4 linked regions of the Rhinolophus ferrumequinum genome follow. Each later gene encodes a partner of the first gene's protein in a complex. Links are inferred from orthologs where the notes say so. Each region holds a gene or a part of one and is shown on either strand. Other genes may lie near its edges. The genes, in order: PRPF8, LSM6, TXNL4A and TSSC4.

What was found.
Region 2: PRPF8 (region 1) and LSM6 share a complex: the UniProt entries of both Homo sapiens proteins name them as parts of the U4/U6-U5 tri-snRNP complex. The link is inferred for Rhinolophus ferrumequinum from reciprocal best matches to the Homo sapiens genes PRPF8 and LSM6.
Region 3: PRPF8 (region 1) and TXNL4A share a complex: the UniProt entries of both Homo sapiens proteins name them as parts of the U4/U6-U5 tri-snRNP complex. The link is inferred for Rhinolophus ferrumequinum from reciprocal best matches to the Homo sapiens genes PRPF8 and TXNL4A.
Region 4: the proteins of PRPF8 (region 1) and TSSC4 are in contact, whole or in part, in a cryo-EM structure (PDB 7PX3), measured with the Homo sapiens proteins. The link is inferred for Rhinolophus ferrumequinum from reciprocal best matches to the Homo sapiens genes PRPF8 and TSSC4. Residues at the interface, in NP_006436.3 of Homo sapiens: Thr2087, Asn2088, His2089, Ile2090, Tyr2091, Val2092, Ser2093, Ser2094, Asp2095, Lys2108, Leu2111, Lys2112, Glu2184, Thr2219, Pro2220, Thr2224, Leu2225, Leu2262, Leu2263; in NP_001284587.1 of Homo sapiens: Pro153, Asp154, Tyr155, Glu160, Arg161, Trp162, Thr163, Lys164, Tyr165, Ser166, Leu167.

The regions. Positions count from the first base shown.
Region 1 is NC_046304.1:16,246,459-16,253,285, reverse strand, and holds the start of PRPF8 (pre-mRNA-processing-splicing factor 8), read right to left. Parts: upstream 3,017-6,827; 5' UTR 2,887-3,016; intron 2,692-2,886; 5' UTR 2,681-2,691; coding exon 2,581-2,680; intron 2,069-2,580; coding exon 1,900-2,068; intron 955-1,899; coding exon 790-954; intron 699-789; coding exon 480-698; intron 349-479; coding exon 136-348; intron 11-135; coding exon 1-10. UniProt on the Homo sapiens protein: Plays a role in pre-mRNA splicing as core component of precatalytic, catalytic and postcatalytic spliceosomal complexes, both of the predominant U2-type spliceosome and the minor U12-type spliceosome.
Region 2 is NC_046301.1:19,252,622-19,260,116, reverse strand, and holds the start of LSM6 (U6 snRNA-associated Sm-like protein LSm6), read right to left. Parts: upstream 3,002-7,495; 5' UTR 2,774-3,001; intron 2,767-2,773; exon of another isoform or gene 2,512-2,766; intron 1-2,511. UniProt on the Homo sapiens protein: Plays a role in pre-mRNA splicing as component of the U4/U6-U5 tri-snRNP complex that is involved in spliceosome assembly, and as component of the precatalytic spliceosome (spliceosome B complex).
Region 3 is NC_046302.1:60,340,861-60,347,950, reverse strand, and holds the start of TXNL4A (thioredoxin-like protein 4A), read left to right. Parts: upstream 1-4,082; 5' UTR 4,083-4,112; coding exon 4,113-4,359; exon of another isoform or gene 4,360-4,401; intron 4,402-4,610; coding exon 4,611-4,783; intron 4,784-6,365; exon of another isoform or gene 6,366-6,514; intron 6,515-6,948; exon of another isoform or gene 6,949-7,018; intron 7,019-7,090. UniProt on the Homo sapiens protein: Plays a role in pre-mRNA splicing as component of the U5 snRNP and U4/U6-U5 tri-snRNP complexes that are involved in spliceosome assembly, and as component of the precatalytic spliceosome (spliceosome B complex).
Region 4 is NC_046294.1:1,585,801-1,593,718, forward strand, and holds TSSC4 (protein TSSC4), read left to right. Parts: upstream 1-4,908; 5' UTR 4,909-5,281; coding exon 5,282-5,471; exon of another isoform or gene 5,472-5,554; intron 5,555-5,569; exon of another isoform or gene 5,570-5,976; coding exon of another isoform or gene 5,977-5,983; intron 5,984-6,330; coding exon 6,331-6,446; intron 6,447-6,559; coding exon 6,560-7,558; 3' UTR 7,559-7,750; downstream 7,751-7,918. Other genes in the region: CD81 antigen, read left to right, coding at 114-218, 599-700, 1,206-1,292, 2,220-2,282. UniProt on the Homo sapiens protein: Protein associated with the U5 snRNP, during its maturation and its post-splicing recycling and which is required for spliceosomal tri-snRNP complex assembly in the nucleus.

The sequences.
Region 1 (6,827 bases):
ATCTTCGTCCCTAGGGTACAAAATCAAAGACGAGCAGACCAGTTGAAGAGTTTGGAAGTTACAATGGATCTTAAGGATCGAGAGTAGATTTTATTCAAGCCAAGATGCCTAAAATCCCTACTCTCTCCAACTTACTGTAGGTTGATATCTCGAACAAGAGGTTCAAATTTGGGGCCTCCAGGAATGGCCATATTGAGTGCCTTGGACGTAAAGAAGGCCTTCAGATCAAACAAATAGAAGTAGTTGTCATCTACCAAGTCTGTCAGGAGCTGATTGGCCAGGCGGTAGAGAGTAGACATCATGGGCAGTGTGAACTGCCAGCGCTGGTAAGTAGAGCCATTCACATACCTAAGGGAAAAAAGACAGGCCCACGTCAGACAGGTATACCAGCTAGCCAAGCCACACTACCAACTGCTCTCTCAAGACCCCTGGACTTCCAAACCTCTCACAAGAGTGGTAATTACTCCAACCACACTTACTTCCTGCTATCCCTCAATGGCTGGTGGTCATAGAACCAGTCCAACACCGGGGCGTCCTCCTCAGGGTCCAGCTCTAGCTGAATGGCCTCCAGCGGCTCAACATCTAGGATGTTGTCAGCATAGTCCAAAGGTGGCTCCTCATCATCAAAAGGGGGAAAACGCATCCTCTTGAAATGCCTCCTGTCTCTTTTTTCTCGCCGCATCATAATCCACATTGACCTGGAAGCCAACAATGTCACACAACGGTTTCTACCCAATGCCTCCCAACCACCACCACCACCACCACACGCCGTATTCCGGCCCTTCTCACCCCCACTGGGAGATGTAGACAGGTTCAATGACCCAAGGAATCTCATTGACAAAGGAGATGGCTCCAGTGATGTGGTATAGTACAGGCACATCCCGAATCTGCTCCCAAGGCATAGGCATGTTCTCCAGGAGTTTGAGGACTGCATGGGGCATGTACTTTAAGGCACTGCAGCATTAGGAAGAGATGATTAGAAATCACAAGATGTTCTGTTACCTGTTCCACGAAGAGACGCAACATGGTATCACAGTATCATATCCCACAGAAAATTCTGCCTTACAGTCCAACTCCCAAATTTAGCACACAGGCCCTCCATGACCAGGAACTCTGCCCCCACCGCAACTATGCCAGTTTTAAACTTCACAGTCCCACAATACTGGGTTTCAGTCCCTCTAAATCTACAGCTCTCCCTCTAAAGGCAGCTTTTAAGCTGTCTCATTTTCTATTCTCTCTGTACTTTCCCATAAATAATAAAGTATTCAGATACTTTACTGTAACCGTTTGTCTCATGTCTGTCATGCCACTAGACTATAAGCTCCAGAAAGACTACCACTTCCTGTTCCCTGCTAGGTGCTCCCTTGCACCTAGCAGTTCTCAAGAAATAGTTCTGAAATAAACAAAACTTCCATGGCTGTCTTAGACTAGTTCATTAAGTAGCTAACATTTTTATGTCCAAATGGGAAAGGGATTTGCTACGGCATTTGTACTCACCCAGCTCAGACCACAGACAAACAAGAGTATAGAGACCGCAGGAGTTAACTATTCCCAAACCTGAGAATTCTGGTCACTGAGGAGTGAGAGGCAAGAAGAATGCACAAAGTGTCCTGTTCTGGGCTTCAACCCATTCAAAGACAGGGACATCTTAGCATAGTACCAACAGCACAAATTAAAGCTCCAGTCCCAGATCAGGAAGTAAAATCTGGACCATAATTGGAAGATCTGGAAACTATCACAGGATCCTAGTGGTTTCCTCTCTTCTAATCATCAAGACAGGCTGTACTAGAAGATTAACGTCCCAAATGATAGAGCAGCTATCCAGGACTACAACTTATAGGACAGAGAGAAGGGAAAGGGGCCAGACTCCAAAAAAAAAAATTCCAGGATGTTCTTTACCCCAAGTAGACCCTTTTGTCATGGCGAAACTTCCTGTTGGTCATGTCTCCATGGTCTCGAATAATCTTCCTGACATGTTCTGGGGGCATGTCTTCCTTCTGAGCATCCACAAATCCAAACTTCCGCTTTTCCGCATAGCGCTTGGCCTGTAATTGCTGCCATTTTCGGGCTACAAAGATACCTCAGTTTAAGGGACTGAACTCAGGTAAGGGACCCTTAGCCTACTCCTCCCCACCTCTTGCCCTAGGGTAGGCTCCCGTCAGGATGTATGAAAAAGAGGCCAGCATCCAGAAAGAGATTCCCAGCCAATTCTCTCATCAACTCGCTCTGCTTTATTTTTTCCTTCATCACGTTATCACTGCCTAGCATTTCTATTACAGATTTTTAAGTTTTTTATTTTCTATTTTCTTCATTGCAATTTAAATTCTGTAAGGGCAGGGATTCTGTCTGCATCGCTACTGTTATCTCCGTTGTTTGGATCAGTGCCTGCAAATAACAGACGCTCTTCAAGACCCGATCAGGTGAAAAAATAAATGGGGAGGGGGCTAAGAACCGCGCTAACGCCTAATGTTTTGACACCTGCCAAAACAAAGGGAAAGGGTTCAAACCCGATGCGCACGCGCGCACACCCGTCCCTACATCTCCGGGCCCGTAGGCACCGCTCCCGCATGCGTTCTTCACCTTTTTCCTGCAGCTTCTCCTCCGACATGTAGTCCGGCAGCGGGGCTAGAGGGCCGGGTACCGGGTTACCCGGCCCTCTGTAAGGAAAAACTCCGGCCATGTCCGGAGAATCTGGGGGGCGGCGGAAGAAAAAAATTAAGGAGTAACAGGGCCGGGGCCTACAAGAGGCGCAGCAGGAACGCGTCGATACCCGCGGCCTGCAGTACCGCCTCGCTCAGAGTAGGCACGGCCCGGCCCAATCCCTCCCGCCGCTCAGCCTGACCCCACCACGCCTCCCGCAGCCAGCCCTTAAAGCCCGCTACGCACCCCTACAGCCCCCCAAACTCGCAGCCCGCCGCTCGCTGGCACCGCAATGGCGGCAAGCCTACGTCCGCTTCGCGTTCCCAACGCCGGGAAGTGCGCAACCCGGGTTCAGTAGTTGACCCAATAGGCGCCGAGGTCCTCAGACAAGTTAGAGAACTCACCAATTAGAGTTGCATATCGGGCCGGAGGGGGCGGGCCCATGGGCGGAATTATTAGAATGCGAGGGGGTGTGGTCGGAGCAGGCGCAAGCCCCGCCTCCCGCGTTTCTGAGCCTGCTTCTGGGCCCTTTCATAAAGCCTCGCGGTCTTATCCGCGACTGTCCTCTGATCGTGAGAAACCCAAGCTTCCAGAGTTTTAATAAATTTGTCAAAATCTGCACATTATTCTGTGTCTAGTCTCATAAATGTAGACTTGAGATGCAGTACTAGCTCCAAGTCATCCAGTCCTTTGTTCATTCATTCATTCAACCATCATATATTGAGTACCCACTATGTATTAGTGGGAATATAGCAAAGAAAAAGCCAACCTCACTGAGTTCACAGGGTAGCAGGGATGCAAACAAGAACCCAGGTTCTTAAGATGTGTTGTGATCGGAGTTCGGGAGCAGAACATTTAATCCTGCCTGCCAACATAGAAAAATAAAAGGTCTTGGGGAACAACATTTCTGGGTGTCTTTTCCCTTCCCTCTCCAGTCCTCTTTTCTCTCTTTGGCAATGATTACACTATGGAGTTTATATTGGACAGCCTATAAATGCTTCTTGAGTCCCTCAGGCTCTGCCTGAATTGCTCTCCATCTCCTACAATCCTCCTACCATCCTTGTTTTACTTCCCATCCCTCTTTTTTTTTTAAGATTTTTTTTTCTTTAATTGGGGAAGGGGAACAGGACTTTATTGAGGAACAGCGTGTACTTCCAGGACTTTTTCCAAGTCAAGTTGTTGTCCTTTCAATCTTAGTTGTGGAGGGTGCAGCTCAGCTCCAGGTCCAGTTGCTGTTGTTACTTGCCGGAGTGGAGGAGTCGAACCAGCAATCTTGTGGTTGAGAGCCCTTGTTCCAACCAACTGAGCCATCTGGCCACCAGGGAGGTGACCGGCAGCTCACTGACTTCATTCTAAATGCAGAGGACGCAGCTCGCTGGCCCATGTAGGAATCCAACTGGCAGCCCCCTGGCCCACAGCTGACATTCTAACCAACTGAGCCACCCGTCTGCCCTCCCATCTCTCTTGCTCCATCCTTTGGTAACAACTTTCAATCTGACTTAACACATAAATTTGTTTGAATCACACCAAGTTTATTGTGGAGAATGCAGAGGAATTGTAACCAATACAGCCTCTCAATCTTGTTGGGAATTTGGGAGTCAAAGGTAAAATAGAGAAAAATACAAAGGAAGATTCCAGACAAGTTTTGGCTGGTGTGGAGGTTCATACAGTTCAAAGAAGGGAGAGGAGCATTATGAAAGGTTTGATGGCAATGGGTAGATTTGAAGGATTGGATGGGGTAGAGAAAGAGGAAGGAAAAAGGAATCCCAGGTAGTAGAAACTGCTAGAATTAGCATTTAGAAAGAGGCACAAACATGGCATGCTCTGAAAAGAGCTTCAACCTGGCTGCAGTAGAAAGTTCAGCAGCATCATCGTGTTCATCATTGTTACTGTAGTGAAGTCTTTACCACCTGTAGAAGGTTCACTATGTACCAGTTATTGTTTTAAACCCTGGTAAAATCCTAATACTGTCTATAGTTTCATTAACACTATTGTACTGCTAATGTCAATTTGTAATCATGCCAATAGTAATGTCGATTTCCTGGTCTTGATTGTCCTACTATTGTTATGTAGGAACTTCTCAAGTGGGCAAAGAGTACACAAGAACTCTCTGTACTATTTTCGAAACAGCCTTATTGAAATATAATTGGCATTCCATAAAGTGCACCTGTTTAAAGTACACAATCCAATGATTTTTAGTATGTTTACAGAGTTGTGCAATTATCATCACTATCTAGTTCCAGAACATTCTCATCATCCCTAAAAGAAACGATGTAACCATTAGCACTCACTCCCCATATCCTCCTACTTCCTCCTCCTCAGCTCTAGGCAACCACTAATCTATTTTCTGTCTCGATAGGTCTTCCTGATCTGGACATTTCATATAAATGGCATCATAGAATAGTGGTCTTTTCTGACTGGCTTTTTTTTACTTAGTATAATGTTCTTGAAGTTCATCCTTGTGTAGTATATATACTCATATAACTTTTTTGGAGAAATGTCTTTCCAGATCCCTTACTCATTTTAAAATTGAGTTGTTTTTTTAAATTATTGAGTTGTAGGAGTTCTTTATATATTCTAGATACAAGTCCCCTGTCATACATATGATATGGAAATGTGTTCTCCCATTCTTTGAGTTATCTTTTCACTTTGTTGACGGTGTTCTTTGAAAGACAAAAGTTTTTAATTTGTATAAAGCCCAACTTTTTTTTTTAATTTATTGGGGTGACAATTGTTAGCAAAATTACATAGATTTCAGGTGTACAATTCTGTATTACATCATCTATAAATCCCATTGTGTGTTCACCACCCAGAGACAGTTCTCCTTCCAACACCATATATTTGAAGCCCAACTTTTAAAATTTTCTCTTCTATTGTTTATGATTTTAGTGTCAAATCTTAGAAATCATTGCTTAATCCAAGTCACAAAGACACAATCCTATGTTTTCTTCTAAGAGTTTTATAGTTTTAGCTCCTACACGTAGGTCTATGATTCACCTTGAGTTAATTTTTGTACATGATATGAGATAGGGGTCCAAATACTTTCTTTTGCATGGGGATATTCAGTTGTCCTAGCATCATTTATTAAAAAGACTATTGTTTCCCCCTTTGAATTGTCTTGGCTCCTTTGTCAAAAAATAAACTGACCATTTGTTTCTGGACTCTCAATTCTATCCCATTGATCTATAGGTTTATCTTTATGCTATCTGTGCTATTTTGTAACTTTCATGTGAGCCTAAAATTATTTCACAATAAAAAGTTAATAAATAAATAAGCAATCAAAGCAATCTAACAAGAGAGTTATTATTATTACGATCCCCATTTTACTGATGAGAAACCCAGGCTCAGAAAGGTGGAGTAACCTGCCTTGGGTCACATGATTAATTGCATGACACATGTGTCAGGTTCTGTCTAACAACTTTATATGTATTAGTTCATTTAATTGTCACAATGATCCAATGAGGTAGGTGTTATTGTTAGCCTCACTTTATAGGTAAAAAAACTGAAGCTCAGAGAAATTGAGCCACTTGCTCAAAGCCCCACAGACAGTAAATACTGGAAACAGTAAAAAATGGCTCTGGAGCTTATGTTTTTAACCATACTGCCATATCATCTTCTATGTTCATGCTAAGAAGCATAGATAATGTTGGATGGCAAAATTTCAGCCAAATTAAAGCTGGTCTTGAATTCCAAGCAGAATTTTGATATTTTGCCAATGATTTGACCTACTTGACAATGATTTCCAAGCTTTTTCTTTTATAGCTAGGAAACACATGTGCAAATGAAATAATTTACAAATCAAGAAACTAAAACTTAAAGAAATTAAGTACTTCTCTTAATGTCTCTTAACTGGTCAAACACAGTCTGTCTGAGTTAGTCTGACGAAGCTCAATTGAGGAGGAAAAGTGACCAAGCCAGGAAAATATCTGAACAGAAAACATTAACTGCCATTATTATGGACCATTCACTGCAGTCAAACCAGTCTCCTCATTGTTCGAGGAGTTTAAAACTGAATGTGGAGGTGACTGCAGGTCATAAAAATGAAGGAGTCCTCTGGCTAGAAATACAGAAGTGGCAGTCTAGGAGCTGAGATGAGGGCTTGAAGCATCAGACTAAATTTGATACTAAAGCCATGAGAAAGAGTCAGTTCACAGAAGAAGAATAACAGAAAAGCAGATGAGGAAGGC
Region 2 (7,495 bases), on another chromosome or scaffold:
TATATCCAATGTGATTTTGAGCTATGTCACTGAGCAGAAGACATGCAAATCATTGTTTCTTGGAAATGCCTACCTGTAAAGTTTCACCTATTCTTAGAGTATTTAAAGTTTAGGGTGAAAAAAAGTTTGAAAAGCAAAAAATTGTTATGAAACATAACATTACAACCCAAGTAAATGCAGCTTTAGCCGAATACATCTGTGTCTGGGAAAGCTCAGACACTGAGGACAGCTCTCTAAACAGAGCCTTCCTTTCCGGCTGACCAGTCTCCCACCCGCGGTTCTAAGCTTCTCGGGGACAGGGAAAATGCCTTACTCTTGTGGTATCCCTGGTACCTAAGCACATGGCCCAAGCCTAAGGAAGAGGCATTTAAGGGCTGTGCCAAGCCCAGCCTGTCCCTCCCCTGCCCAGCTCCGCGGAGTGACGAGGACAGTACAGTCCATGCACTTCAGCAGCTGTAACACAGGCACATCTCTATTACTGAGCACCAAATAAAAGAAGGATGGAGGAAACAAACGTTTCTGTGTTGTCCAAGAACCAGCTGCAGCCCAATCAACAGAGATGTTGCTAAAATGCAGGATCCTGCAGCTTACTCCTAGTCAGACCCTCTAGGGAAGGGGTCCTGGAATTTATATAAAGTTTCCCAAATAATCCCTAGAAGCAAGTAGTTCTTGACCGGGGGGATTTTGCCCCCTACCCTTAGGGACATTTGGAAATGTCTGCAGACATTCTGGATTGTCCTGAATGAGGACGTGGTGCCACTGGGATCTATTAGGTTGGTGCAAAAGTAACTGCAGTTTAAAAGGTTAAAAATAATCGCAAAACCCACAATGACTTTTGCACCAACCTAATAGTAGGTAGCGGTAAGGACACTGCCTACCCTTCCACAAAGCACAGGACAGCCCTCCATAACAAAAAAGTATCTGCCCAAAACGTCAACTGAGGTGGAGAAACTCTGCGATTAGCAAAAAAACCATTGTTCTCTGGTCTTAACGCAACAAGAAGTTTTAAAAAACCTTCAAGGTGTAAGAAATGGGAACAAACATTTAAGTTCTAACCACATGATAGAATATAAATTATAACTTATTAGAAATTTTATTCCAACGTTTAGAGACTCTGAAAACAACTGTCAAAAAATCTTGAAGGGCTTGACATTCTAAATAATGGATTCCCAGTCCTGGCCATGAAGATGGTCACTTTCCCATTTTTCAGTGTCACAGATCCCTGAGATGATTAAAATCTGTTACCTGGTAAAATTCTAAAAGGACAGAATAATCCAAGTGATGTAAACATCTTTTTAAATTCTAATATTGAGTATGCCAGTTTAGTAAGAGATCACCTGACGCCCTTGAGAGGTGGGAAACCTGAGTTCTAATCCCGCTCTGCTACTTAATTTGCTGTGCCTCTCCCATCACTCATCACTTCACCTCTCAAACAAAGCCCCAGGTCCCTCATCTGCAAAATAAGGCAGTTATGCTAGCTGATGACTAAAGTGATCTAACAGCCTATGCAGTAACTTCCCACACACAAACATAACCTCTGAAGATTCCTTCACAAAATTCAAGCAAGCAGAATTGCCAGACAGCACCAAAAAAAAAAAAAAAAAAAAAAAAAAATCCAAAGAGAGGCTCAACTTTCCTGGTTGATGTACTGGAAATGTATCACTACTTTTGGTGAAACAGGAACAATCCTACAAGAATGATGTAAACTACTAAAACTATTTTGGAAAACAATCTGGCAATAGGCATGAAGACCTAAAAAGACCTTACTAGAACACAGCATCTATTCTAACAATTTTACTTCTCACAATCTAGTCCAAGTAAATACTCTGAAATCAGTTTTAAAAAGGAGTTTATCAAAGTACTATCTGAGATGCTAAACTGAAACAAGAATTCACAAATACCCTAAACGCCCCACAGTTGGGAAATGCCTGAGAACTTTATGGGACCTACACAATGACGGAACAATCAAAGGATACAACATTAGAGATGATATTTAAGAAAAAATTTTAAATGAAATTGGAAAACTAAATATAGTGTTAAGTGATAAAATGAGTGCTCTTAGTTCAAGGAGAAATGAGCACAAGCAAGAGTACAATATAGCAAGAAATTGTTGGTGGACGGGTTCAGTGAATGATTTTCTTCACTGAACTTCCGTATTTTCAGCTTTTCTACAACAGTCTCCTATTAATAAGGGGGTACACTAAATCGCGATCAACCTTATCTGCATCACCCTACCCCAGACACCCTGAACAAAAATACCTGCTATGAACGCGCGCGCGCCCCTACACACAAAACCCCGGTGACAGGCTTAACACTACACAGTCGTGGGCATCCCCAACCTGAAACCGCGGTAAGGTGAGCTGGCGCAGCAATTCGTTCCCGGAGGCCGGGCGCCACCACGCAGGGCTGCAGGCCTGGCCCCGTGGCCGGGGTCCGCTTTCCCGCCGAATCCCCAGGAGGACCTCCGGAACTACACCCCCCCCCCCCAGCCCAGCCGGTGCCGTTCCTCACCGCGCGGTCTAAGCGCCCCCCGGGGAGGGGCCTCAGGGCCGGGCTCAGGGACCCCAGACCCCACGACCGGAGACCTCCCAGCCATTCTAGGCGCGCAGGAGAGAACGTGAGCGCGGCATTTGGGGGAACCCGCCACCGGCAGGCTCCGGGATGGGCGCTCCTTCCCGGGGCTGCCGGGCCGGCCCGGAGTTGCTACTCCCCAAAGCGGCCCGGGGTTAGGGAACACTGGGGCCTCCCACGCCCCCCGCGACCGCGAGCTCACCTGCCGGCCGGGATCCGGAACCCCCACTCTGGGAGCCCCACAAGCCCCGCCTCCGCCGACAGCGGGATGAAACCGAAACTGAAACCACCAAGGCAGCCGCACTTTTCTCCTTCAGCGAATCAGTGCTTCCCGGGCTATGGCGGCCCGCGGGACCAAAAAGACCGGGTCTTGCAGGGGCGCGCAAATCCAAGAATCCTGGTTTGCCTAAAGGCAAAGTTGGTGCTGTGGGCTTCAAGTGGAAAGCGCTGGTGTGCTCTCCTTTAACGGAAAGCACTCCATCCCCCCCAAAAAAAACACGTAAAAAGAAAAGGAGGAAGTGATCTTCAGCCAAGACTTCTTTTAGGCAGGCATGTAAGAAATAGCTTGAAGTCATAGGAAACTGGGATTTACTGCTAAAATAATGATTATACATATCCAGAAATGTCCTTGAATAATTTAATGCAAATAAATACATAAAACAAGTGGCCTCAAATCTCTAAATCCACCTCTGGATTTTGATTGTGTGAAGGCGAAGCCATTATTAGCAAGAGATTGTTTCCGTGGCAACGTTAATTGACACAAAAAGAATCAAAATCACTAAAGTAGCTCTACTATAATGGCATAAATTGAGGTACGTTACAAACTAGTTCTAATTGGAAATGGTGGGCAGGCATTATTTAAGTGCTGTTATGGGAACTTGGTTTGGAATTTAGCATGAAGTCTCTATTCTTGTAATTAATGGAAAGGGAGAGGAAAACTCATACTCACTTGATTCCTTTTATCTCTACACACATGCCCTCATCAACTTAAACTTTAATTCTATATAATTTAGAACACTATAAACAGTGATAACAGCTTTAAACAGATTCTTAACCCTAAGCGTTATAGAATCTAAGATGCAGAATTTTTTTTCTAAGACAAAAAAATGCTTTTCCCCTCTTATAAGCCTATCTCTTAGCATGAACCTTTGATTGGTATGGTTCAGAGAACATAGGCATGTTCTACCAAAACATTCTCTGATTTGGTAGAAAAGAGAGACTTTCTTATATCCTCATATAAAAGCTCATTTTGGGTAAAGATAAAGCATCACAGGTTTATTGAAAGACTATATTTGAAGTTTTTGCGGTATAAAGTATAACGTAAACCAAAATATTAAGTAAAGTTTTATTTAAATTAAAATAACTACAAAGAATGAACATAGTAGGATACAAAGCCCTATCCCTAAAAAATGTTCACAAAAGACGTCAAATTGTACCACAGTTCTCCCTGGTTGTTTGAATTGTTCAAAACATTCTTGTTTTAATTCTTCCCTTTTACCACAGAGCCCCGATGGAGCCATTAAAACTGGTATGGTGGTCAGGGGGCAATGAGGAATTTTAAGGGCATGGTTCATCTCTAGAGGTAGCTTCAACCTTTCCAAGGGGCATGGATCTGTAAGGGCCCAACTAGACAATCGAGATGGGTGCCATGAATGACTGCAAAAGCTAACGAATTTATCAAAATGTGGTTGTACCCAGAACCTTCTCAGCAACTTATAATTAGCTTTTCTCAACTCACAAAGCAACTTTCCATATTTCACAAGTTATTTTTTTAGCATCTGTAATTTTACAAAGAAAACATGTGCAAGATTTTTTCTGAATACTAGTCCACCAAGGACTAGTCTTCAAACACGGGAACACAAACAGTAATTTATTAAGGTCATAAAAATAATTTGACAAACTTTAGTTTAGCTTACATAGTTTAATTTAGTTTAACTGTTACAATTGATCGACCTACATTGACACACCATTATCACCCTAAGTCCATAGTTTATATTAGGGTTCATTCTTAGTGTTGTACATTATATGACAAACATATAATGACATGTATCCAACATTACAGTATAATACAGAGTATTTTCACTACCCTAAAAATCCTTTGTGCTCTGCCTATTCATCCCTCCTCTATCCCCACTAATCACTGGCAACCACTCACTATCTTTTTACTTTCTCCATGGTTTTGTCTTTTCCAGAATATCATAAAGTTGGAATCAAGCAGTATCATGTAGCCTTTTCAGATCAACTTCTTTTACTTAGTAATGTGCATTTAGGGTTCCTCTATGTTTTTTCATAGCTTTATAGCTCATTTCTTTTTAGCGCTAGATAATAGTCCATTGCCTAGATGTACCAGAATTTATCCATTCACTAAAGGGCATCTTGGTTGCTTCCAAGTTTTGGCAACTATGAATTAGGCCGCTATAAACATCTGTATGCAGGTTTTTGTGTAGACATAAGTTTTCAAGTCATGGGTTGAGTTTTCAACTCTTTGGGTGAATACCAAAGAGTGCAATTGCTAGGTTGTATAAGGAGAGAATGTTTAGTTTTGTAAGAAACTTCCAAACTGTCTACCAAAGTGGCTGTAGCATTTTGCATTCCCACCAGCAGTGAATCAGAGATCCTGTTGCTCCACATCTGCACAGGGTTTGGTGTTTCCAATGTTTCGGATTTGGGTCATTCTAATAGGTGTGTAGTGGAATCTCACTGCAGTTTTAGTTGGCATTTTCCTGATGACAGACGATGCGGATCATCTTTTCATATGCTTATTTGCTAACTATATGTCTTCTTTGGTCACGTGTCTTTTCTGATCTTTTGGCCATTTTTAAATCGGACTGTTTGTTTTTTATTGTTGACAGTATATTTTGGAGAACAGTCCTTTATCAGCTATGCCTTTTGCAAATATTTTCTCCCAGTCTGTGGCTTATCTTCTCGTTCTCTGAAGCTATTATTGTCAAAATAGGCAAACGCTAGTATAAAAATACTAAGGTTCACGCTCACCATTCTATTATTTGTTCCGCACTTCTATAGTCCTATGCCTTTAGAAAACTGTTTTTCAGTGTTTCATGTTCATAAGAAAAAGTATCATGTCTAGCTTATTTTTTAAAAACATCCAACAAACAGCTTTGTGGACATGTGGGTGGTTGTATTATGCTAACAATGACAGATACAAATGTGGAATTGCATTGGCCAACAGTCTCCAAAGCAGACTTTAATACCTAAATCAGTGTTATCCTTCTAAGAACACTGGCTGGTCTTGTTCCAGCAATGCATTACTGGTATGAACTGCTGGCATGCACTTGGACCTTTCCTGGACCTTCGGACTGGACAACAAAAACATCTCACCTGTCATATTCTAGTTCGGGGTATTCAGACCACTATTATCTATCTTTTATCATGGGATGTAAAAATTATGTGTTGGGGCAGCTGGTTAGCTCAGTTGGTTAGAGCATGATGCTCGTAACCCCTGGGTTGCCAGTTCAGTCCCCTCATGGGCCAGTGTGAGCTGCGCCCTCCCCAACTAGATTGAAACAACTACTTGACTTGAAGCTGATGGGTCCTGGAAAAACACACTTAAAATAAATAAAAGTTTTTAAAAAACCTATGTGTTAAAGAAAAAGAAAAGAAAGACACCACATAGTTGTTAAATACCTCTCTCTCTCTCTCTCTCTCTCTCTCTCTCTCTCTCTCTCTCTCTCTCTCTGTGTGTGTGTGTGTGTAGCCTTTCAAGCATCTCACTGTTATGCAGAGTCTCAATTCCAACTCTCTACCCCACATGGGGCCAATGCCTTGTCTCTTGTATTCATAAGCCTTAAAACTGTCACTTCCGTTTTTCCTCCTATTGACTTGATCATCTTCTGGGTGACTGCGAGTGCTTTAAAACTGGTTTCATCAGTTAGAGCCCAGGCTCTTCACTTCACTGGGCCAACTCCTAATCAGACATTAGGCCTTAACTCAAACATAAATTTCTTAGAGAAAGCCTTTGATAATCCCTCACACTAGATATTCCTCCTCTTGTTCATGATCAGAGAATACTATACTTCTCCTTTGTACCACTTGTAAATGCCACAATTCAATAACTCTCCGTGTGTGTGTGTGTGTGTGTGTGTGTGTGTGTGTATGTTTTCTCCCTCATATGTTCTCTGTGAGTGCAGGGCCAGTGTTTATGTTATTCAACACTGTATTTACTGTAATATCTTCTGAGAAGTAATATAAACTTATTGACTGAAGGACAAATTTCTCAGGAAAGTCGGTGTGCCTTTTATTTTTCATAAGATGGGACATATTCTGCATCACAGGTACTTGGTTCCAGATATAATGTTTGAAATGTTTAAATAAATGCTCCGACTTCATTGGCCAGCATTTTAGTATAACTTGGATTTCAAAAGTGAAGGTCTCAGGGTCTGAGCTCCTCTGAGGAGAGTCTTTCAAATGCTGTGATGCTTTATGCTCCACTGTGAACTCTAGAAAACCTCTCTCAGCTGTAAAATTCAGTGAAATCGGTGTGACGCTGCCCTTGTATTTTAATCAAGATGAACTTGAAAGGTGAACATTGTAAGTGGGAGAAATTATTTATAATTTGGTAATAAAAGTTTATGTCTAACACTCCAAATTTCATACATCTGCTATGTGCTGGCCCTGAGATATAAAACAATTGAAGTTGCCTTTACATTTGGCCTTATATGAAAGGTCATAAATTAGAATGATAGCATTCGTCCTTTTTCCTAGCTCACAAAATTTCCATATTAACATCTTCACCTCAAACATAAATGGTTACCCAGCTGCAAAGAAAAGAGTTGTGCTGGCCTTTATGAATTATAGTTTATGTTGGAAATCTGTGGTACATAGGCTGCCGCTCATCTTTCACTGGAGTGTATCCACTTCAATGAAGCTAATTCTACCACAGTGAAACTAATTAAAACTCTATGGC
Region 3 (7,090 bases), on another chromosome or scaffold:
AGAGACTCAGAAAAGAGGCTGAAGCCCCTCTGCTTTCTTATCCTTCGCATGATATTATCTTAGCATGGAAAATTATCTGATCAGTACATGACTAGATAAGGGGACCTAAAAGATTCAGCTATGCCAAAGAGTTCGGAGTCCTTGACAATCTGTTTGCTAGTGAGGGATTGATGAAAACTGAACTGTTTTCATCTTTTGTGATGTTTCTTTAGTCACCAGGTATCAACAAGCCCAATATAATTTAAAACCACAATGTGTCTCAGCAAAAACAGGTGCTACACTCCTGAAAAACTAGATTCCTATAAGGGAATAAACTATGAGCTAAAATCTGATGTGAGTGTTAGGCCATATTTAGGCCAGGAACAGGAAGCTTCGTATCTTAAAAGCCATCTCATCCTGCTTTAGGCCTTGTATCTTTCACTAATGTTTGCCTTAGGCCTGGAGAAGCCTCCAGGAAAGCAGAAACCAGCTTATCCTGTCTTGCTTTGAACTCTGGCTCCTAGGGGCTTGTGATCAGTGGGCCTGGGCAGACGGAGGCCTGGGGGCCAGGGTGTGGAGCCAGCAGGAGGGCTAGGTCATGCCCTGAAACCCTTTGCTGCTAGAGACAATGCAACAAAAACCCCCTGAAGCATTGAAGGGGGAACAACTTTGTTTACCCCCACCTATAAAACTCTATACCCCTTTTTGCTGGGGGAGGTTATGATCTTTGCAGCTCAAACATGCCAAATAAATTCTAATAGACCAATTTTGGTCGCTCGCAACTCACTCATTCCGCCAGCCATGCCTAACAGTGAGTACCTGAATTTTACCCATTTAAAGCTTAATCTGCCATTGCCTATAGCTCAGAAAAATAAATACCTGTACAAATTGACCTTTAATTTCTAGCAGAGTCCCTGAAGCCACCTTAAACCTCTCAAACGCGGCAGGAATAAATAATAACAACGTTGGTTTTCCCCTGTTAAATCCTTTAGGATCTTGAAATACGGGTCAGGATGCGTGTCAGGACTTTAACGTGGCTCACCTATCCCAGGTGAGGTCTGGGGTCACAGCCACGCCCACGCGGCAGAGCTCGGTCCAGTCTCCGGCCCACGCCATGACATCCTAGGGGGCACGCTTACAATGAAGTAAGTAGTGCTACATCTGTTGTCCTTGATAACTAAGCGGCCCGTGGTCCCTCTGGGGGCTTATTGATAGGAGGATGTGGAGAAGCCACTATGGCAAAGGGACGTTGAAACTACAAATACTGTGAATTTGTAAGGGCTATTTTGAGAGTTTCCGTTTGGATGAGGGGACTCTTCCTGACCTGAAATCTCTCCAGAAGACCCCTGGGGCATTCCCTCCTGTTTCAGCATCCCTCCTGGACAGTGGTGATAAACCACTGGGAAAAATGGATGGCATCCTGCCTCCCAACACTGTAAGGTTGCAGAATGCAAGATCAGTATACAAACACCAATTGTATTTCTACACACTAGTTATGAATAACCTGAAATTATTTAAAATAATTGCAGAGAAGGGGCAGCCAGTTAGCTCAGTGGGTTACAGTGCGATGCTCATAACACCAGAGTTGCCAGTTCGACTCCCACATGGGCCAGTGTGAGCTGCGCCCTCCACAACTAGACTGAAACAACTACTTGACTTGGAGCTGATGGGTCCTGGAAAAACACACTTAAATAAATAAAAAAGTTTAAAAAATAATAATAATTCCATAGAAAATAAAGACCTAAATAAACAGAAAGACCTCCCGTATCCATGGACTGGAAAACATAATATTAAGACAGCAATACTCCCTAAATTGGAGTACAGATTCAACATTTCCTATCAAAATCCCAGCTGCCTTTTTTGCAGAAATTGACAAACTCATCCTAAAGTTCATATGGAATGCAAAGGACGCAGAAAAGCCAAACCAATCTTGAAAAGGAACAAAACTGGAGGAGTCACTTCCTGATTTCTAGACTTACTACTAACACAGTACGTGAACTTCATTTCTTATAGCATGCATATTGCTTTAATCCAAGCAGGCTTTGTTTATCCTGATAAAACTATGATTCACTTGCATTTAAGCCCTTAGGACACTGGGTTCTGGTCAACACCAAATTCACTTAAGAATAAAGCGTCAGGTCTATCAATCATGACCAAGACACAACCACCAAACCTCCAACTAGAACAAGGTTTGACCCTTGGCCTCAGTTATGCTTCAGCTCTGGACTCATGAAAGCGGATCGGCCCCACAACCGCACCCCCTGCGAACTGGATCAAACAAGGCCATGACTGACACCAGGACCCACAGCCATGACCAACTGCTCTCTGCTTTGGCCCCGACCAATTAGTGGAGCCCACGACCCCCACTCCCATAGAGACCACGATTAATGATTGTTCCCTCCTGTAACCTGGCTGCTAGAGCCATCGGGGAGCCAGGTCTTTGAGAGCAATAGCTCACCCGTGTCTCGGGACTTGGTGCCAATTCCTTAAATACACCTTTTCGTTCTCTGCTGCAAACTTCTGCTCATGTTTTGTTTTGGTTTGGACACAACCCCTGGTGTCAGCGGTAATGCTACGAATTTACATTAATTAAGATAGTGATACTGACATAAGACTACACAGAGAGATAGATGAATAGAATTAACACTACAGAAAAAAATCCTTATAAAGTCAATTGATTTTCAACAATTTGGTTGGGAAATAACCTTTCCAATAAATGGTGTGGGACAACTGGATATCTACGTGCAAAAGAATGAAGCTGGGGGGTGGCCGGTTAGCTCAGTTGGTTAGAGCGTGGTGCTGGTAACACCAAGGTTTCCATTTTGATCCCCACATGTGCCACTGTGAGATGGGCCCTCCTTAAAAAAAAAAAAAATTAAGCTGGACACCTATCTAACAAAATACACAAAAATTAACTTAAAATGGTCACAAACCTAAATATAAGAGTTAAAAGTAAAAAAACTCTTGGAAGGAAACAGGAGTAAACATCATGAACTTCAATTAGGCAATGGTTTCTCAGATATGACACCAAAAGCACAAGCAATAAAAGAAACAAAATACATACATTGGTCTTATTCAAAATTTAAAACTTGTGCTACAAATGACACCAATAAAAAGTGCAAAGTCAATCCACAGAATGGGAGGAACTATTTCCATATTGTGTGTCTGGTAAGAGAAGAGTTGGTTCCACAACTCTGAACAACTTGACCTTAAGTGGGTGACTTTCACATCACAGTCTGTGTGAATGCTGCCTCAACAAAGCTTTTGAACAAAAGACCTACTATCTGAAGACAGACAGTGCTGACGGCTGCAAACGAGGCGAACCAGGCAAACGTAGTGAATGCCACTGAATGCTTCAATGGGATTAGAATGGTCACTTGACATGTACTTCACCACATAGAATGTAGAAACGCTAGTCGCAGTAAATTATTTGGGGGCATTGGAGTCTTGTGCATTAGCTTGGCGTACTTCTGTTAATATACTGCTTTTGACAAGTAAAGCGAACCGTGTTGTAGGGCAGGGGATCCTGCCGACTTCACCATGTGTCATGCAGGGTGTCCTGCGGGGTCTCTGGTCCCGCTCCCCACATAAGAACGCAGGATATGGTGAGGCCAAACAGGAACACCCACGGAGCCATAGGTAGGGCAGTCACACCACTCTACTCTCGCTGGCGGCTGGGTTGGAGACACAGGGACCAGGAGCCACACAATTCTCACCCCTCACTGCGCCGCTTGCAGGCTCAGCCACCATCTTCTTGCTAGCCCCCATTTGCTGCTAGCCTAGCCACGGCAGTTATATTAGTGGCCAATGGCTCACTGGTTACAGCTGACGGCCGTTTGATCACAGTCGATGGCCATTTACTACCTGAGCCAGCACCTTTCTATGTGAGGCCGAGAGCCTGGAAACTGCTTTTTGGGGCTCTGTCCCCACACGTGTTTATGTCTGGAACGGGTGAGCGCCAAAACGACTACTCTGGGGCCTCCGCGTGGGAGTGAAGGGGACACGCCCCGCCGCAGAGGTGCCCACCTCTCGGGGCGGCCCCACCACCGCCCGCGGTCCTCTCCGTCCGCCGCCGCCTCCGCGGGGCTCATGGAGTCCTCTCAGTTCAGCGCCGCCTCCCGCCGGTCGCGGGGATGTCGCGGGGAAGCCCGGGCTCTCTGACGCTCTCACCGGACAGACAACAGGTCTCACAACCCACCGCAGCCATCCCTCGCAGCAAAACTCGCTGCAACCACCAGAACCCAGCGCGAGGCCTCCCAGCTGCGGACACGCGCACGCACGACGGGCACGCACGGCGGACGCACGCTCGGCAGACACGCGCACGTGCACGTCAGGGCACGTTAGTGCGCGTCCGCGCCGGGGGTGACCGCTTCGCGGGAGGTGCGTGTGAGCCGAGGTGCAGGGAGCGGGATTCCGCGGGAAGTGGGTTCGGCGGGGATCGGGGCCCGACGGGGAGTTGGGCTGGGCGTGTGGGCCGGGCCGGGCCGGGCGGAGAGCGGGGCCCGGCGTGGGATCGGGGCCCGGCGGGGAGCGGGGTCCTGGTCTGTGGGGAGCGGCGCGGCAGCCCCCGCCAGCGCCGCGCGCTGTGGCTGAGGCGGAAGAAGCTCGTCCACCGAGTTCCTCTCGCGCAGGGGCCAGTTCAGTCGCCAGGATGTCGTACATGCTCCCGCACTTGCACAACGGCTGGCAGGTGGATCAGGCCATCCTTTCGGAAGAAGACCGAGTGGTCGTCATTCGGTTTGGACACGATTGGGACCCCACGTGCATGAAAATGGACGAGGTTCTGTACAGCATAGCGGAAAAGGTAACGCAGCCCCATAGCTTCACGTTGCGATCCACCGTCCGCTTTGCCAGTTGGCGGGAAAATTTTAAAGTGAGGTTAAAAACTGCATTCTATGTTTATTCTTAAGGCCTTAATTTCTAATGTGCGGCACAGCCTCCAAATAAAGGGAAGACGCAGGATTAACACACGGACAGATTTTTACCTTGTGAGGTGAGGATGTGCTCCCTGAAATCGTACGTAATAGCACATGTCTTTTTCTGGGAAAAGTTTCCATACATTTTCAAATTTTAAAGAGGTTCGTGATCCCTCTCCTGAAATAAGTTAATAAATCCTAGGGATAGGATATTTTCAGACTATACATCTGTAGCACCATGAACAAAACACATTTGCAGACTTTGGCAAGGGCGTTGGAGCTTATTTTAAATAGCTTAGTTTAAAAGGATTGTCCTTTTTGGGGGACTGTGTTTATTTGTTGAATTTATAAAGCAGAACTCTTATGTTAATAGCATAATAAATCCTGTTCTTTTTCTTTTTGTCGTTTTTCTTTTCTTTACCCCACCATGCTCTTTGTAAGTCACTAGATTTATAGCTTAGAGTGATTTAAATGAAGGGCCTGGTAGAAGAAAGTAGAATTGTGCTTTGTTACAGCTAGTTTTCCTAATTTTTAATATTAGTACACTGGTTTGTCTGTGGCACTTATGGGATGACAATAAAAGTGCAATTGTAGGGCACTATTGTATAACCAGACATGTAATTCTTTTGTTTATAATTTCCTTGTGGCGATTTTAAGTTAGCTTTGATTTGTATTTTTGCAATTGTTGCAAGAGGACAAAAGGCAAATATATTGGGGTTTTCATGAAATAATTAACTTATTAATATTCTATAAATGATTTGAGAGGACATTCATTTTAATGAACAGTAAAAGTGGAAACACTGAAGACATCTTTCATGGGAATAGGAGATGCTAAAATAAGCTGGGTTAAAATAACACCTTTGAGTGAATAGTATCAGATGTAAGGATATATTTTGAATTTAAGAAAGGAAAAGCTATCTGACCTGCCATTGCTAATTTTTACTGTCTCATGTTTGGTAGAAGAGTGAGGTGTGGGTGGTGCGTTGTGCAGCTTCCATGTCAGTCGTCATAGGTACCACTGGCACTACTTACCAAAGGGCATAATAGTGATTCTGAATCTGTAGGTCTGGGGTGAGGTCCCGAAACTGTGTCATTAAGAAGTTCCCTTGGGAACTGTGATGTGACTCTCAGAAACCCCTCAACAGAGGTCAGGGTTATCATAGGAGTGCTGCGTCTGTCAGCGATCCCCTCCTCTTCCTCTTGGACACCAAGACATTGAGGAGCTTGAGGAGGTGCCTGGGGAGCTCTGGAGAGGGCTGTTGGCTTACACTAGGGGGCCTCCCAGTTGGGGTCAGAGGTCATGAGTCAGGTGGTACCAGGGAGTCATTTATTCATTGTTCAAGCTGTAGAGGTCAAGGGCAGCTACTGCTGACTTCAGTGAAGACGACCAAGCACTTCTCCAATAAGCAAATCATTAGCTTGTTGACTTTGAAATAACTCAGGGTGTGTGTTCTCGATTCTGCCTCACAGGTGGCGGCATAACCTCCAGGTGATGTCCGATCCTGCTGCCCTCAGCACGAGGCCAGGATGGCTGGAGACCTGAGGGTTGGTTGGCTCTTCCTGTCTGAGCAAAACTCAGCAAGATGCTCTTAGCTAGGAGGCATATTTTGTGAGTTAACGTAAGTGTTCAGGGACTTTCACCAGAGTTGTTCTTTCCTAATTCCTTTCTGTCAGTTACAGACTGAGGTTACAGCCGTGTCAGTAGTAAACACATTCTTTTTTTTGTTTTGTTTTGAACCTGTTGATCAGGACAGTTTTAATTGGGCTCACTTTGAATATTTTTGTTTGGTCTTGAAGTTTCTCTTTTTCTTTTGTCCAAAAATTTGGGTTTTTATTTTAATAAACTTTTAATACTGTATTATAATATGCAGTTCAAAGTGCAAACTTGAAGTGCATTCCAAGACTATTAATGTTTTATTTTCTTCTTAGTATAAGGGCAAAATAAGACTATAATTCTGGAAGCTCTCTCTGGAGAAGCTCAACAGGAATTTTTGAAATCGAAGGCTTTAGTGTAAAGAACAATTTAACTCTGTTTAAAAATCTCCCTCTGCAGAAATGGCAGACAATGGGGGATCCTCCTCACCTTGTCACGAGCCCTGTTTGGATATCCCAGCTGTTCTGAAGTGAGTAAAAGTTCAGTGTTGAGGCCGAACCTGATGTTTCTCCTGGAATGTGGTGTATTGAACCTGACCTGC
Region 4 (7,918 bases), on another chromosome or scaffold:
AAGGCCACAGAGGGCTTTCTGGAGGAGATGGCCTGGGGGCTGAGCTGGGGGTGGGGGTTGGGCCTGTCCCCCGGGGGCTGGCCCTCACTGAGTGTGACCACATCCGTCCCCAGATTGCCAAGGACGTGAAGCAGTTCTATGACCAGGCCTTGCAGCAGGCCGTGCTGGACGACGACGCTAACAATGCCAAGACTGTGGTGAAGACCTTCCACGAGACGGTGCGCTGGCCGGGGAGGCGGGGGCTGGGGGCCGCCTGAGGTGGGTGGCAGCCGGAGCCTGGCTGGTGCTGTCTGACCTCAGCCCAGACCTGGGGTCTGGCAGCTCTGCTCTCAAGGGCCGAGGGGCTTCCTGTGCCAGCCCTGGGGGGGCTTCTCTGGGACCTTTGGGTCCTTGTGGGAACCAGATAGACCAGGCCGGTGGGAGTGCAGCCTGGCTGAGCTGGAAGGAGGGAAGGAGGGGCCTTGGGCAACGTCCTTCCCGGAGGGGACATCCCAGCCCCCACCCGCACGCCAGAATGGGGAAGCCGTCGGGATGCATGTCCCTGGCCGTCTCCCCACACATGCGTGGGGCTGATCGTGGGCCCCCTGGGTCTCTGCAGCTCAGCTGCTGCGGCTCCAACACCCTGATCTCACTGGCCACGTCTCTGTACAAGAACAATCTGTGTCCCTCGGACAGCAACTTCATGAGCAGCGTGTTTAAGGTGTGTGGCAGTGGGTGCGGCGGGGCGCCCCAGGCGGGCTGGCCGGCTGTTCCCCACTTCTCTGCGTCCCTGCCCCCTGCGGGTCCCAGGTGTTGGGTGGGCCCCCAGGGGCACGTCAGGGACATGGCCACCATGGGTGGTGCTGTGGTCTGAGTCGGGTGCTCTGCCTGGGGGCTGTGTTCTACTGATGGCCCCCAGGGAAAGTGCGGGTTCCGATGGGGGAGTCTCAGTGTCCGGCAGCCAGTGGGCGTGGAGGGTGACCCCTTGGTCAGCATCCATCCTTGTGATGCTGAGTGGTCTCTGAGTAGAAGAGGGTGCACACAGCACATTTGTTTTGAACTGGATGTAAGATAAAACCCAGCAGAGACCCGGCCCTGTTCACGCCTCTTCTGAGGGCAGCCAGGGCTGTGCCCCTCCGTGCTCTTTCTGCAATGACCCCAGGCTGCTGCATTGCGGGGGGCCCGAGGACCAGCACCCCTGACCGCCCGCTGGCCATCCCCCACAGAAAGACTGCCACCAGAAGATTGATGAGCTCTTCTCGGGGAAGCTGTACCTCATCGGCATTGCGGCCATTGTGGTCGCTGTGATCATGGTGAGCAGGGGCAGCAGGCCGTCTACTCAGGCCCCGTGGGTCTCGGTGCTGGCTGGGGACTGACGGGGTCTCCGGGTGCTGACGGGGTCTCCGGGTGCTGACGGGGTCTCCGGGTGCTGACCGGGTCTCCGGGTGCTGACGGGGTCTCCGGGTGCTGACGGGGTCTCCGGGTGCTGACCGGGTCTCCGGGTGCTGACCGGGTCTCCGGGTGCTGACCGGGTCTCCGGGTGCTGACCGGGTCTCCGGGTGCTGACCGGGTCTCCGGGTGCTGACGGGGTCTCCGGGTGCTGACGGGGTCTCCGGGTGCTGACGGGGTCTCCGGGTGCTGACGGGGTCTCCGGGTGCTGACGGGGTCTCCGGGTACTGACCGGGTCTCCGGGTGCTGACCGGGTCTCCGGGTACTGACCGGGTCTCCGGGTGCTGACGGGGTCTCCGGGTGCTGACGGGGTCTCCGGGTACTGACCGGGTCTCCGGGTGCTGACCGGGTCTCCGGGTGCTGACGGGGTCTCCGGGTGCTGACGGGGTCTCCGGGTACTGACCGGGTCTCCGGGTGCTGACGGGGTCTCCGGGTGCTGATGGGGTCTCCGGGTACTGACCGGGTCTCCGGGTGCTGACGGGGTCTCCGGGTGCTGACGGGGTCTCCGGGTACTGACCGGGTCTCCGGGTGCTGACGGGGTCTCCGGGTACTGACCGGGTCTCCGGGTACTGACCGGGTCTCCGGGTACTGACCGGGTCTCCGGGTGCTGACCGGGTCTCCGGGTACTGACCGGGTCTCCGGGTGCTGACGGGGTCTCCGGGTGCTGACCGGGTCTCTGGGTGATGGCGGGTACTGTCGGGGTCTCCGGGTGCTGTCGGGGTCTCCGGGTGCTGACGGGGTCTCCGGGTGCTGACGGGGTCTCCGGGTGCTGACCGGGCCGCCTCCCACAGATCTTCGAGATGATCCTCAGCATGGTGCTCTGCTGTGGCATCCGGAACAGCCCTGTGTACTGAGGCTCCACCGCTCTGCCCGGCGGGACCCCTGCGGTGCCCCCAGAGCGACCTGGACACTTTGAGGAGGGTATATAACCGCCTGTGTATATAACTTTTCTGGTATTACTCTACTACACTTATTAGTCCTTTTACTTTTGAGGTTTTGTTTTTGTCCTGAAGTTCCCTGTTACCTTTTGGGGCTGACGTCACCTGTACGTGGCGTGTGAGTGGGCCTTGGGACTGCAGGACAATGGCCCCCTCTGCTTCTGAGGCCTCTTGGGGGACTCCGCCTATTCAACCAGGCCTCTCCAGGGGGCCGAGGGGGCCCCCCCACTCCAGCTGTGCCCTCCCTCCCACCCACCTGTCCCCATGGGTTGCACGGCTCACGCCTTTTTTAATCCGTGTTCCTCTCCTGCCACCTGTCTCTAGAGCTGGGTCTATGAGTGGCCTTATACTTTCAATGCATCTGTCCTTTCTAACACGTCACCTACGATTGTAATTACATCTTGAAATTCATTCAATAAAGAAGGAAAAACCAGGCATGCTAACAAACTGTCCAGCCCCTTCCTGTGCCCACAGCATCTGTCCCGGGGTGGCCCAAGGGACAGAAGACCCTCACACAGGTGGGGCTCAGCTCTGTGGACTTTGCCGGGCCCAGGTATGCTGCCCACCTTGTTGGGGTGTCCGGGGAGGACTCCATCCTCCAGGTGGCAAGTGCCCCTTTGTTGGGCCCTGTGCTGCCTACAGAAGCCTCCACCCAACCGCACTCCCAGCTCTCCTCCTCATGCATTGCTGCCAGGAGCGGGCAGGGCGGGTGGGGCGGCCAGGGACTGTGGTGTAGGGCATGCTTGAGGTGGGGGATCCCCTTCTGAGGGACAGCTCTGTAGAGGACAGATGCACTGCTCCCTCCCGAGTGTCTGAGGGTCCTCTCCTTGCCTGTGGAGAAGCTGGGTGGCTGTGGCCAAGTGGCATCCTGCAGGGGCTGGAGGGGAAGGTCTCAGCCACACCCAGGAGGGGCCACCTGGCCCACCACAGCTGTTCTTCCCATAGGGCATGGGCCTCACACAGGCACTGACCTGTGTGCACTTTATTGTTTTTTTTTATTGGGGAAGGGGAACAGGGCTTTATTGGGGAACAGTGTGCACTTCCAGGATGTTTTCCCAAGTTGTTGTCCTTTCAGTCTTAGTTGTGGAGGGAGCAGCTCAGCTCCAGGTCCAGTTGCCGTTTTCTAGTTGCAGGGGGCGCAGCCCAATATCCCTTGCGGGACTCGAGGAGTCACACTGGCAACCTTGTGGTTGAGAGCCCACTGGCCCATGTGGGAATCGAACCGGCAGCCTTCGGAGTTAGGAGCACGGAGCTCCAACCGCCGGAGCCACCGGGCGGCCCTGACCTGTGTGTACTTGAAATTGACCCCTTGAGGCCACGAGGCCTGGCTGGGGATTCGGGAAGGGCTTCCTGTGGCCTTCTTGGGGGCTGATTTTAGAAACGAACCCCAGCCCTGCTGCACTGAGGGTTGGGGTGTCATGGGGCCTCCGTGTGCCCCTCCACATCTTGTGCTAGGGCAGCTTGGTTGGGACAGTAAGACGGCCCACGGCGGCCCCTCCTCTCTCCTGGCCCCTATGCTCGAGGCCGCGGGGACATCCTAGCAGAGGGCTGGGTGTCACCTGCAAACTGGTTCCACTACAAAACCAGTGCTCGGGGTGGACCGGACCAGCACTTCCCCACGAGGCCACACGGGGACGTGGGGGCGCTTAGGAATGAGGTGTTGCGAGCTTGCACGGAAAAACAGGCTGTTTCTTCCTTGGTTTCCCGGGCCAGGCGGCAGGGCCTGCACACCGGATGCGCGGAGCACGCCAGGACACCAGGCCTGGGACAGGGACCGGGTGCAGCAGGCCAGCCGCTAGGGGCTGAGGCGCCGCGACCTTGTGGGGCACGAAGCGGCCCCAGAGGGAAAGGGAGCAGGGACACTTGGCCTGACCAGGGGAGACCGGGACCTGTCCTCCACTTCCCGGCAGCACTGACCAGTCTGGCCATCGGCCGGCGGGGCCAGGTCGCCACTCCCAAGTGGCCTGCCCCCCCCACCCCCACCCCTGCCCCCGCCCCGGCTGCCCTCCAGCCCTAACACACTCGGAGGTTGAGATGAGCGCTCAACCTGCGGTGCGCACGTCTCTCAGAACCAGAGGGGCGCGGCCGGCCGCTTCCGGCCAGGGCCGGAAGTGTCCGCGAACGGCGCCGCGTACGCCGCGCACTACGACGCACTTCCGGTTTGAGGGACCTCTCATCATGGCTTCCGGCTGCGCGCGATGGGGCCACGGGAACACGGCGCTGACCGTTAGCACTCGTGTATTCTGGGAGTCGCGGTTCGGCCTCTCCCTCCGCCCCCTTCCCCCGCCCGCCTCCTCTCAGTCGGTTCCGGGCTCTTCGCGAAAGAGCGCCGCCATTTCCGGGGAGTGGAGGCTGCGAAGAGAGCGCATGCGCAAGGACTACAAGTCCCGACAGGCCTCGGGAGTAGCGGCCCAGTACGTTTTAGGAGATGTAGTTTTTCAGGGGCGGAAGCCGCGGCACTCTGCCGGCGGGGTACTCAATTTCCCATAGGGTCGAGCGCGGCGCAAGATGGAGGCGATCGGGCCACAGTGAGCCGGTAGGTTGGTGGTGAGGGGATGGCGGCACAGGCCAGTCGGGGCCTACTGCCCCGAGCCCAGAGACCCCCGTGCCTCGAGGCCTGGCCCTTGGGACCCCGAGACTCGTGCGGTCCCCGGACCGTGGCCCAGCCAGGCCGGCTTGGTCCCCGAGACCCAGGCCCGACAGGGAGAGCCTGGTGCGCAGGCGGCGAGGCTCTGGGCACGCACAGTGCAGAAAGTGAAGACTGCTTCCCAGGAGGGAGAGAGAACCCACTTCCTGGGACTTGGCCTGCCTAGACCCCGGCCCTCTGACACCCCTGCCCGAGACCCAGCGCCACCCCCGCCTCGGCTCTGCGGCCACTGGGCTCCCGAAGTGCTCGGAGAACTCCGAAGAAACGGATGCCCGGATGCCTTCTCTGGGGGGCTCGGTCTCCCCGTCCCCCGCCCCCCGAGTGTCCCACTGATTCTGCTACTTCTCGCAGTCGCGGGAGCGTCCCCAGCGGTGCAGCGGACGGGAGTGCGAATTTGGGAAACAGGAGTCGGCTTGGAACTGCGGGGCCGGCTCTGTCGCCCCTTCGCGCTCCTGGAGGTAGTCCTTCGTTCAGGAATGGAGGGCTCGCCTTTGTTTGCCCCGGGACAGGGCCGTCAGAGCCCCTCCTGGCCTGTTCCTCGGTGGGTGCGTCAGCAGTGAGTCCCCCCCACCCTGCGGCGAGGGAGGCGCGGTGCGGGGGGAGGAGGCGGTGAATGGACGGCTGAGAGCAGGGCAGAAGCGTGAGGCTGGGCTGACCCCTGGGCCTGGACACACAGGCCGCGAGCTGCCTGGCCACACGTGGCCACCACACGGGTGTCAGCAGCGCTTCTCTGCTCAGCTGGGGAGGAAGCAGGGGGTGCGGGGAGGGCTGCGGGAGAAGAGACATGCCCCCCGAAGGTGCTCCTAGAGCCGCGGCGGCTTGCCTCTGCCCAGCGTGGCTGTGCGCGGTGATCACAGACGCTCCACTTGCCTGAGAGCTGGACCCTCAGATGCCGAGGACTTGGCTGCACAGCCCCCTGGGACTCCAGGGTATCGCCCAGCAAACGGGAACAAAGCTCCCCACATGCCAGGCAGGTGCCACGCGCCACGTAAGCAGCGGATAAGTGGTTGCACTCGGTTGTGAGTGGGAGTGTTGAGCGGGGGCCGCCCTTGGCCCTGGGTTCAAGGGCCACTGGCTGCTCACGACCGGAATCTTCCACCAGCAGTTCTCTTGGTCGCTCGAGTTGGGCTCCACTTGAGAGGATTGTTGGGACTGAAGGAGGTGACATGTCAAAAACACCTGCTCGCTGGCCTGGCCTGGCCCAGCCCGTGTCGGCGGCTCTGTAGACCCAGGCCCACTTCCGGGTCATGGCACCCCCCCACCCCGTCATGTTCGCCTTCTGGGCTGATGGTTGGCTCTCCCTTCTCTCTCTCTCAGCTACGCTTGAACAGCTGAACAGAGCTGTGCCTGGAGACCTTCTAGGCGGAGGCCACACCCACGCCTTTGCCACCTCTGCCAGCGGCTCCGTTCACCATCCCCTGCAGACAAGGAAGGTGAGGAGGATCGTTCGGGGGGAGAGGGACCCGGGGCAGTGGGTCTGCAGGCGAAACGTGTTTTAAACCCATGGTGTCCTCAGAAACCAACTTCATGGGCTGTTTTGGTCTAGGTGTGGTGTGGCCCAGGACACATGGCTGAGGCGGGGACTGGCGAGCCCTCCCCTGGCTTGGAGGTCGAGCAGGGCCCCGAGTATGATGATGTCCTGCCTTCTGATACCATCTCCCTCAGCGACTCGGACTCTGACCTCAGCCTGCCTGGCAGTGCTGAGCTGGAAGCTCTGTCCCCAGAGGGGCTGCCAGGGGAGGCCCAGGGGGACTCAGGCCCCGACGAGCCCCCCTCGCCCCCCAGGGCCCTCCCTACAGCCGCAGTGCAGCCGTTCCACCTGAGAGGCATGAGCTCCACCTTCTCGCAGCGCAGCCACAGTATCTTTGACTGCCTGGAGGGGGCAGCCGGGCGGGCGCCACCCTCTGTGGTCCACACTGGCCTAGGGGACCGTGGGGGCTTCAAGCGGCCCCTGGCGCCCTCACGCCAACCTCCAGCAGAAGGCCCAGGCAGGGCCAGTCAGAGCCCTGTCCCCCGGAGGGCGCCCCCCGTCCCCGACTATGTGACCCACCCTGAGCGCTGGACTAAGTACAGCCTGGAAGACGTGGCCGAGGCCAGTGAGCACAGCAATCAGGCTGCCGCCCTGGCCTTCCTGGGCTCCCGGAGCCTGGCCGCCCCCGGCCACTATGTGCCCTCCTTCAACCAGGACCCCTCCAGCTGTGGGGAGGGCAGAGTCGTCTTCACCAAACCGGCCCGCGCCGGCGAGGCCAGACCAGAGAGGAAGCGGGGTCTGAGAAAGGCAGGGGCGCCTGGTGGGGCTGAGGGGCCTGTGGAGCTGGCCCACCTGGCCAGGCCCGGGAGCCCAGAGGCCGAGGAGTGGAGCAGCCCGCGTGGGGGCGTGCAGGAGGTGGGCACGCCCGAGGGGGACACCCACACCGAGTCCGCAGCGGGCCCCCCAGGGGTGGACATTGTTGGCTTCCACGGCAGCAGGAAGCGCAGTAGAGACCACTTTCGGAACAAGAGCAGCAGCTCTGAGGTCCCTGGTGCTGAGGGGGCTGAGGGCTGACCCGAGAGCCTGCCTTGGACTTGAGGAGCCCCAACCCCTTGGGAAGGAAGCCGGTGGGCTGCCTGTCGGTGGCGCCAGCGGCCCTGGCTGGGGCTCAGGCAGTGGACTCGAGCAGAGACCTTGCTTGCCACTGATGGGCCCACTGGGTGCCCGTGGGGAACAGTAAAGCTTTTGGGTATTCCTCAGGCTCTGTGTCTCTGTGCAGACCCCACCTCCCCAGGACCCGTTGGCTGCAACCTTCTGTGCTCTCCAGCCTGCCCGGTCACCCGTTCCCACACTTGGGCCTACCCGACAATGTCGGTCGGGGGCTCGGAGAGGTTTTAAAGCTCCGCCTGCTCCCCTTGGTGGCAGAGCTTCCCA